Danio rerio: one gene and its partner. The protein of the gene in region 1 interacts with the protein of each later gene in a pairwise test. Links are inferred from orthologs where the notes say so. Each region holds a gene or a part of one and is shown on either strand. Other genes may lie near its edges.

What was found. The genes of interacting proteins can lie anywhere in the genome.
Region 2: the proteins of yes1 (region 1) and fundc1 interact in binary tests that used the Homo sapiens proteins (3 or more experiments, as listed by UniProt). The two-hybrid records come from large-scale screens. The link is inferred for Danio rerio from reciprocal best matches to the Homo sapiens genes YES1 and FUNDC1.

What each region holds. Positions count from the first base shown.
Region 1 is NC_133177.1:34,311,589-34,316,220, reverse strand, and holds part of yes1 (tyrosine-protein kinase yes), read right to left. Parts: intron 2,115-4,632; coding exon 1,935-2,114; intron 1-1,934. UniProt on the Homo sapiens protein: Non-receptor protein tyrosine kinase that is involved in the regulation of cell growth and survival, apoptosis, cell-cell adhesion, cytoskeleton remodeling, and differentiation.
Region 2 is NC_133184.1:35,473,094-35,477,559, forward strand, and holds fundc1 (FUN14 domain-containing protein 1), read right to left. Parts: upstream 2,676-4,466; 5' UTR 2,636-2,675; coding exon 2,617-2,635; intron 2,191-2,616; coding exon 2,034-2,190; intron 1,947-2,033; coding exon 1,871-1,946; intron 1,779-1,870; coding exon 1,650-1,778; intron 1,561-1,649; coding exon 1,483-1,560; 3' UTR 1,034-1,482; downstream 1-1,033. UniProt on the Homo sapiens protein: Integral mitochondrial outer-membrane protein that mediates the formation of mitochondria-associated endoplasmic reticulum membranes (MAMs).

The sequences.
Region 1 (4,632 bases):
AAAGACAGAGGTATCGATTGAAGATCTTTCCAACATGTATTATAAATGACACTAGGCATGGGACGATAACCGTTCTTAAGGTATACTGTGGTTTGGAAAAATCTGTAATAACGCTTCTAATGTATATGTAAGATTTTTTATTTACATTTTTTTTTGTTGTTGTTTTTTAGGTTTGTTTATTTTTAAAAAATATGTAAAGATGCCGTTTCAAACTGTAAAAAAAAATCTGTGTTTTTAAAACAAATGAAAACATCAATGATTTATTTGAATTATATAGCCTGACGTGTTTACTGCTCCAAAATATCATAAATCTAAAAGAAAAATAGAATATATTGAGTTTTTTTTAAAGGGAAAAAAGTTTTAGTTTTTTTACCCAGACATTTAAAAAGAAGATATTTTAGAGCAGTGAGCACAATACCGTAATACCATGAAATCGAAATATTTTTATCCAAGGTTATCACACCGTCAGAATCTTATACCGGCCCATGCCTAAATGATACAAAGACAAGATATTTACAACATTAATTAAAAACCAACTATATAATGTAGCACAGCCTTTCGTAGCTAAAACACAACATTAAATATGATTATTTTGCACACATTAAAGAGAAAGAAAAAGGTACTGTGAGCTGCATCAGAGCGGAGTTCATTAACATTCATGACCAACCTAATATGGTCAATAAGGATTTTCTGATTGTGGTGCATTTTATGGGGGTAACAAACGAGTATATAAATTAAAACCATTTCTGGAGAAGGTTTGAACTTACCTAAGGCATATACCTACTCATGCAGATATCAGAAAACAATTTAACTTTTTGAACCAAAGCAGTATGTCACCTCTTAATAATAACAATTTTTTTAACTATTTCACATTTAATAGAATTTTTTTTTTTTATCTAAACGTAGGATTCATAAATATTATATTTAAACATATGATCTATAAAATAAATATATAATTTGTGTAATGGTGTTAACATTACTCTTGCGACAATAAATTTAGTACATTAAACAATAATTTTAGAACATCTTGCAGCTTAATATCCATTTTAATTTGTTTTCATGTCTCCAAAACGCAAAAAACGTTAAAAAAACCTTCCCTTTTTTATTATGGTGAATTGAGAAAGCCAACATACTGTTATACTACCAAAACTTATTCTTCTTCTTCCGTCTTCTTTTTCTAAGACTGTTAGGAACGCAACTCCAAACCTTCAAACTATACTGAATTAAGTTGCTATATCTTTTTCAACTGATCCAATTTTCGTTTTTCCAAAAACTGACCTGGAAAATTTGGACAAGTCCCACTGACTTAACATTGGACCAAACTTTGTGACTTAAGGTTGGACTCATACTAAATTCATGCTAATAACATGCTAGTTCATACTAGAAACATGCTAGCAACATGCTAATTATTATTAGAACTATGCTAACAACATGCTAATTTATGCTAGAAACATGCTAGCAACATGCTAATTCATACTAGAACCATGCTAATTTATGTAAGCAACTGCCTAGCAACTACTCAGAACACCCTAGCAACCGCCTAGCAACGTCTAAACAACCAGTCAAAACACCACAGCAATGCCTTAGCAACAGCCTAGCAACCACATAGAACACCCTGGCACAATCTTAGCAACACCTCAGAACACCCTAGCAAGGCCTTAGCAACCATTTAGAACACTCTAGCAACCACTTAGCAGCACTATAGCAACTACTAAGAACACCCCATAAACCACTTAGCAAGAAACATGCCAATCCAAACTAGAAACATGCTAACCTATATGTAGTTATCTATCTATGCCATCTGTTTCAAACTTCATCTGTTTCAAATCAATTTGTCAAATTACTATTGCATATTATTAAGTTGCTGCTGTGTCATTGCTTGAACTGATAAATAAACACACATGAAGAAAGTAAAGAAAGAGAGTGTCAGCTACCTTTGCCCATGTATTCAGTGACAATGTAAATTGGCTCTTCAGACACAACAGCATACAGCGGAACGAGCTTATCATGCCGGAGCTTCTTCATGATCTGGGCCTCCTGCAGGAAGGCTTCGGGAGACATGGTGCCCGGCTTCAGGGTCTTAATAGCTACCTTAGTCGTGCCATTCCAAGTGCCTAGAAAAAGGGAAAAGAAATTAACCCTAAATAAATGCAGCACTTTGGTAAATCGAAAGTATCAGGAATGATTTGATTTAAAAACCTAACGATAAAGAAATGTGGCTGAGGAAAACACACACACACACTCTTACAAATACAGTCTCTCTCACACACACACACACACACACACACACACACACACACACACACACACACACACACACACACACACACACACACACACACACACACACACACACACACACACACACACACACACACACACACACACACACACACACACCTTGTTTTTGAGAATACCGTTTAAACAGCCATGGCACAGACTGCCAATTCATGAGAGAATGGTTATGTGGAAGCTATTGTGCATGTTGAAACAAACATACACAAACAATAAGAGAAATTCCTCACATTGCTGATATGAGGTGACATGCCGGAGCTTGCAGCAGGACGAGTTTACTAGAGATGATGACAGACAAATACCTAATAACACCCTTTTACACTTCACTCTAGTATATAAACTCTGCTGTATTTTTGCCATGTAGAAAATTTTGAATGAATCTGAAGTTTAATGCGCAAGTCTGTTTGTATAGTTCAGCATTTTATGTGAGTGACAGCCGCATTCAGTAACTGAATTAACTCCTGACAAACGCATTGTGACAAACACACTGAAAGAAACTATGCAGTATGTATGGCACATAACAACGAACTGTTACTTACATTTAAACACTTATTAGAGCAGAGTGTCCCATTTGCATGCACACAATACAAGAAAGTCCCAGAAAAAGAGGTACTAGACCTGACTTGTTTGTGTTGCCAGGTATTGCTTGAAAAATACAGTACAATAATAAACTTAATTAGGTACAAAAGATTTCTTCTGAAGACAAGACCAAAGTATCATAACTTGCACCTTCCTGCTTTCAAAACTCCATCAACTCTGTTTATGTGAGTATCCTAAACAGTAAGCCCAAAGACATTTATAATAAGTGGACATGGCAACACTTCAAGAGCACACTGTGTAAAACCTTAAACATTAACACAGTATAACGCTTCTGTTGACAATAAATTGGTTAAAACTACAAATCAAAATGAATATTTGGTTTATGTAATATTACTTTTGTTAAAAAATATCAGATACCAAAGGCTTGAGATGCCAGATAATTGCTGTGGTTTCAGTATGGTGTAATTTAGGGATTCACTTCAGTATTTAAATGCTGTAGTCACTCCTAACACTTTATAATGTTTATAAGTCTGTGCAGGTGTAAATATTGGTGAACTGACAATGTATAAAGCACTTTGGCTAAATAATAGTTGTAAATTATTAACTGAAATTAGGGTGTGTGATATTTATGGAATACAATAATTATGGTAATTGCGGCTCTAATAATGTGTGAGCTGACAAACACACAAACACATCTTGAAAGGATTGACTGTATGATGAAGTCTATAAAAATGGCACTATAATATGAGTTATGAAAGCAAAAAGTAGTGTATTGGTTTTGCTTTTTGTAATATGTTAAGACATGTAATACCAGCCTGATCTCACAAAGGAAAGTAACTATTTTTTGCTTTGTCAGTTTACTGGCTAATTCACATTTTAAAAATGAGGCATGCCGCCACACCCAACACAAACCAACCGTCACTGGAGATGAGCAAATCGTACTAAATTATACGAATGAGGTCGTAAATATTCACACAAATTAGCCACTAAATCAATCAGTGATTCGAATCGCAGTGAGATTGTGTTGGTAATACAAAAGTCATTACATGCACAAAGTGTGGTTTTCTCCAATATCAGCGAGCATCATCGCATATGTTGTTTTGATTTTATTCCGCAGTTTAACAAACTGGAAGTTAAAACTGAGCGGGTTTACATATTGTATATGAGTTTTTTTTAAAACCCAAACAAAGTAAGAGCAGAACAACTACCAAACACTACCACTGTGGTGTTTTAATCCTGAATGAACCTGTTTTTAAACAAACAGAGCAAGTCAGTAATTCTATCACTCATTCATGAAGACGGTGGTTGTTTCTTAATATGCTTTCTTCACCGGTTTTGTGTCTTTATGTTCTCATGTAATGCCAACATCAGCTGCCAAAGTTCAGTTCTAAAACCCAAGACCGCAAGAACAGAGGATGCGTGAGAGTTCCCGCATATCTTCTTAATATCGAGGATGCACTGACTTGAACACAAAACTCCCCCGAGAAGTCCCAGAAGTCATTGCAGCTGATCCTGAATAAAGAAGGTGGGAAGCACAGAATTCTATACATGTTTATTATTAAAGTTCCGAAATATAATTTATTTATCTCAGAAGTTTTCTCAAATGACACAGTGAAAGTAAACATTACCATGAAACTCTTAATAAAGTTATAAACAAATTAAGGATGTATATTAGCTAAATTTTATATTAAAACCGGTTTTATTTGTATTGTGCAAAATACATTTGTAAGGTTTTGTGCATGTTATATATATTTAAAAGGGAAAAAACAAATCATTGTATTAATGCTGTAATGTTTA
Region 2 (4,466 bases), on another chromosome or scaffold:
TTGTTTAGTTAATAGCATTCATAGTCATATCAAACAACATCAAACTGACTTAAAATATAAAGTTAAACTTCGTATAATTCAGCATAACTTTAGTTGAAACCTGATTTACTTATTAAAATAAGTTAAAGTAAAAAAATCACCTTGACATTTTTTTGTCATGTAACTTTTTTCAGTTATGACTGTTGATTAAACAGCCTTTTTTTCTTTCCTTTTTTTTTCTTAGAAATGTACCACTGTAAAAATCTGCAGGGTAGCATTTAATAACTTAACCCACACAGATACATTATTATTATTATTTTTACTTTTTAAAGTCGTTGTTTTTTGCAACACTGTAAAACACTCAGATTCATCCAAACACAATATATTGTCATTTAAATTCACCATAAAACAGATGTTAAGATTGTCCTGTTTTTCATATCAAATTGAAACGATTCTGAAATGAGAAAAAAACCTTCAGGAACTGATTGGATCATTGGAGGATAGGCATCGCTAACAAAATGATGGAAGACTGATAAGTAGACAAAAGTAGGGTTATTGCTAGATCACATACGGTTGTGGCCGGAAGTAAACAAGAATTATTTATATTATGTATTAAATTTCCCATTTATTGTTTTTCATTAACATCTACCCCTACTGTCACAGTAACATGAAAACAGTAGTTGTACAGGGTATTTTATTAATGTCTACTATTAATTACTGTTATAAAGTTTTACAAAAATGATGCTATATTGATGTGCATACCCGCAGCTGTAACCCATCTACTTTGCCCAAAATAGAACAGAAATGAGACACGCCCTGATAGTCCCGCCCTAAAGGCAATCCATATGACCAAAAGTAAAGAAAAGTCATTTCGAGGGGGCAGAGAAGGTTATAGTGTTGGATAAAACATAATAAGGGCAAATTATTTTTTACAAAATAATGAAGTGCACATTAATAACAAGCACTATAAAAATATAAAACTAGAAAAGCTAATTCTGATTTAATGCCGACTTTAGAACTTAGGAACAAACAAACAAACCAAAAAGTACAAATAGTCTATACATAACCAGAAAGACTTTTTATTATTTCCACAACATTATTTTTATCTTTACGTCAAAACAATTCATGCATTTTGACAATATATTAGGGAAATGATACATCTACCTCAAATAATGTACCGTCAAAAGCAAAATACAATATGAAACACTTCAGTAGTTGTACATGTAACAAATGAATGCATTATCACTAATTAAAATAAAATGAACAAAATAAAAGCCACAATTTTCTATAAAGTTATTGGCACAATATATCTCTCTCCTGCAGGATGTTTTAGCTATTGTATAACATTGTAGAGGAACATATTAAAAAAGTCCAGCAAATGTCCATTGCACTCACTGCTTCTGAACAAACAACATGTTTCAGTGCTGTATCACTGTGATACCAAGATAAGGGACAATATTACTGTACTCATATCAGAGGCAATACAGTACATCCAGGTTTCATTTAGGATGCCAGGCCTAGCAGAAATCCTCCAACAAATCCTCCTGAGATAACAATATTCCTCTTCACAAACTCTGTAGACTGTAGAACAAAATGTAGGTTAAGCGAAGTGTCATAACAGCTAATAGATAGTATATGAAATTATGACAAGCATATGAAAGTATACCCACATCTTCTATAAAGGTATTGAGCTCAGGAGCAGCTTTTTTGGCATTTTTCTTCAAATGCTTTTTAGCTTTATTGACATCCTTTTCCACTTTCCTCCAGTCCACCTGCACATAGCCACTATGATTGGCAATCTGAAATAAGAAAATAGATGATTAACAAATTAAATGTCATTGAGCATAACATATACTAATTAAAAGCATAACTTAATTTTAAGAACTCATACTTGTAACAAAAGAAATCCTCCTCCAACAGCAGTAGCCACAAGCTTTCCAACTCTCTGAAAGAGATATCCAGCACACCTAGAGAAGGACATTTTTTTATTATTTATAACAATCAGGAATATTAAGGGTTTTATTAGAAATTAAAGCATTCACATGAACACTAACCATCCGGACACTCCACCCATCATGATTTGTGAAGCCACAGAGTATTTTTCTGCAATGGGACCTGTGCTGTTACCAAATACTCGACTCCACCATTGATGCCTCCTGGCATAATCTGTGATGTTGACCACTTCATACAATTCATCTTCACTCTCTGCATCTACAAGTGAAAACATTAACCACAGTCGTTACAAACGAATACTGTAATTCTATGTTTGTTCTCTGATGACAAACATGATCCAGCTTTGTAAACACTGAATATACGAATTTTCAACCATTAAGGTTCACGTCCTTTGACATTTCAAATTAATACGATGTGATTACACTAATTTGTTTGCATTAATAAGTGTCAATGAATTTACCAGCACGCGAATGGAAAGACGAATGAGAATGAAAACAGTATGGTTGAATTTAGCTGCGTTGTATCTGTATAGACTGAACGGCTGCTGGCAAAATAAACGAAACCTATGCTGCTCTTCTACGGTGTAAACACTCGGAATCTTGTTGCACGCGATAAATCCGGTGAAACAAACACGCTGCCAATCGAGACTATTCATTCAAATGTTTGGTTAGCCAATTTATTTACCTTCGCCGCGATCCGCCATTTTATGAGGCTGCGTTCACGACGCTCGCAACCGCGGAAGCTCTTACGTAAAATGCTGCGCAGTTTGCGTGCGATAATCACTCTTCGATTCCAAATTTGCGTATATGTGGTATTCACTAAATACTTCACAAAGTCCGTAGAGTGTAATGGTGCAATCTCAGTATATAAAATACTGTCTACCATCAGAACCAGAAAGCATTTTACATGTTTCTGTGTATACTCCACTACTAAGGGGAAGCTCAGGTCTGTAAGATTTTCAAAGCTCAAAGACGCCTAGCATATTTAAATAACAGAACTCTCTGTCTTTTTACTTTTGTGTTTTTTTTTGTCCATAATTTTAACACAGCGTTTTTACATTTACTGCTTTCAAACATTTTAAACACTATAACAGTTGTTTACATAATTAAAATATAAATAATAGCATTAAATAATAATTTTTATAATTTTCTAAATATTTCATATTCTAGCCTATACAACTTTCAGGGTGTTGAAAGAAAGAAAGAAAGAAAGAAAGAAAGAAAGAAAGAAAGAAAACAATGACAGCAAAAATGGATGATAGAAGATAGGATGGAGAGTATTTTTATTATTAATTAACAAAACGTTCTCTCTTTAACGTTACTCTTGTGCGTTTTGTGCAGAATTTAAGTGTACAGAGTTTTTACATTTACTGCTTTCAAACATTTAAAACACTAATAATAGTTGTATACATAATTAAAACATTGATAACAACAACCATCAAATAATAATTTTAATATTTTTACAGATATTTCATATTCTATACAACTTTTGGGATGTTGAAGAAAGAGTGAAAGAAGTTAAAAAAGACAGTATTTTTATTATGAGAAACATTACAGCAATACAGACAAGGATAAATACAGTACACCATCATATGCAGTACAGTACAATAAAGTATTATTGACCCTTTGATGCACAAGCTATAAAATAGATATAGAAAAATGTAAAAAAATAAACTTAGACGGGTCACTTTAGACCCATGTAGCGCATGAAAGGGTTAAATAAATAAATAATAAATTCACTGGGTAAATGTATGTTCTTAAAGAATTTGGATCCATGTGCTGTACTTTGAAAAATCAAAGAAAGAGGCAGGGTCAAAATAAACTTAACAGCCATGGAATATAAAAAAAAATGTTAATAATAATAATTATATATATATATATATATATATATATATATATATATATATATATATATATATATATTCTGACTAAGACGAAAAGAAAATGAATGAATATATTTTTAGTAGTTTCTTTAGATTATGAAGCCATAAATTCTATGATTTTATTTATTTTTTATTATTATTATTTTTTTTATTAAACAACAGCAAATATACAATTTAAACATGACATCCGAATAATTCATTTATTTATTTTTTTTGGCTTAGTCCCTTTATTAATCTGGGGTCGTCATAGCGGAATGAACTGCCAACTTATCCAGCATATGCTTTATGCAGCGGATGCCCTTCCAGCTGCAACCCATCATTGGGAAATACCCATACACTCTCATTCACACACATACACTACGCACAAATTAGCTTTCTCAATTCACCGGTACCGCATGTCTTTGGACTTAGCCAGAGCATCTGGAGGAAACCCACATGAATGCGGGGAGAACATGCAAACTCCACACAGAAACGCCAACTGACCCAGCCACCGCGTCACCCCACAAATAATACAAATGTAACTAATAACATAAAATTAACTAATATATATATGTTACATAATTAAAATAAATAAAAACACAACTTCAACACTGAAACATTTACAATGACAATATAACTAGTTGATTTAATCTACCCAATTGACAGCTATATT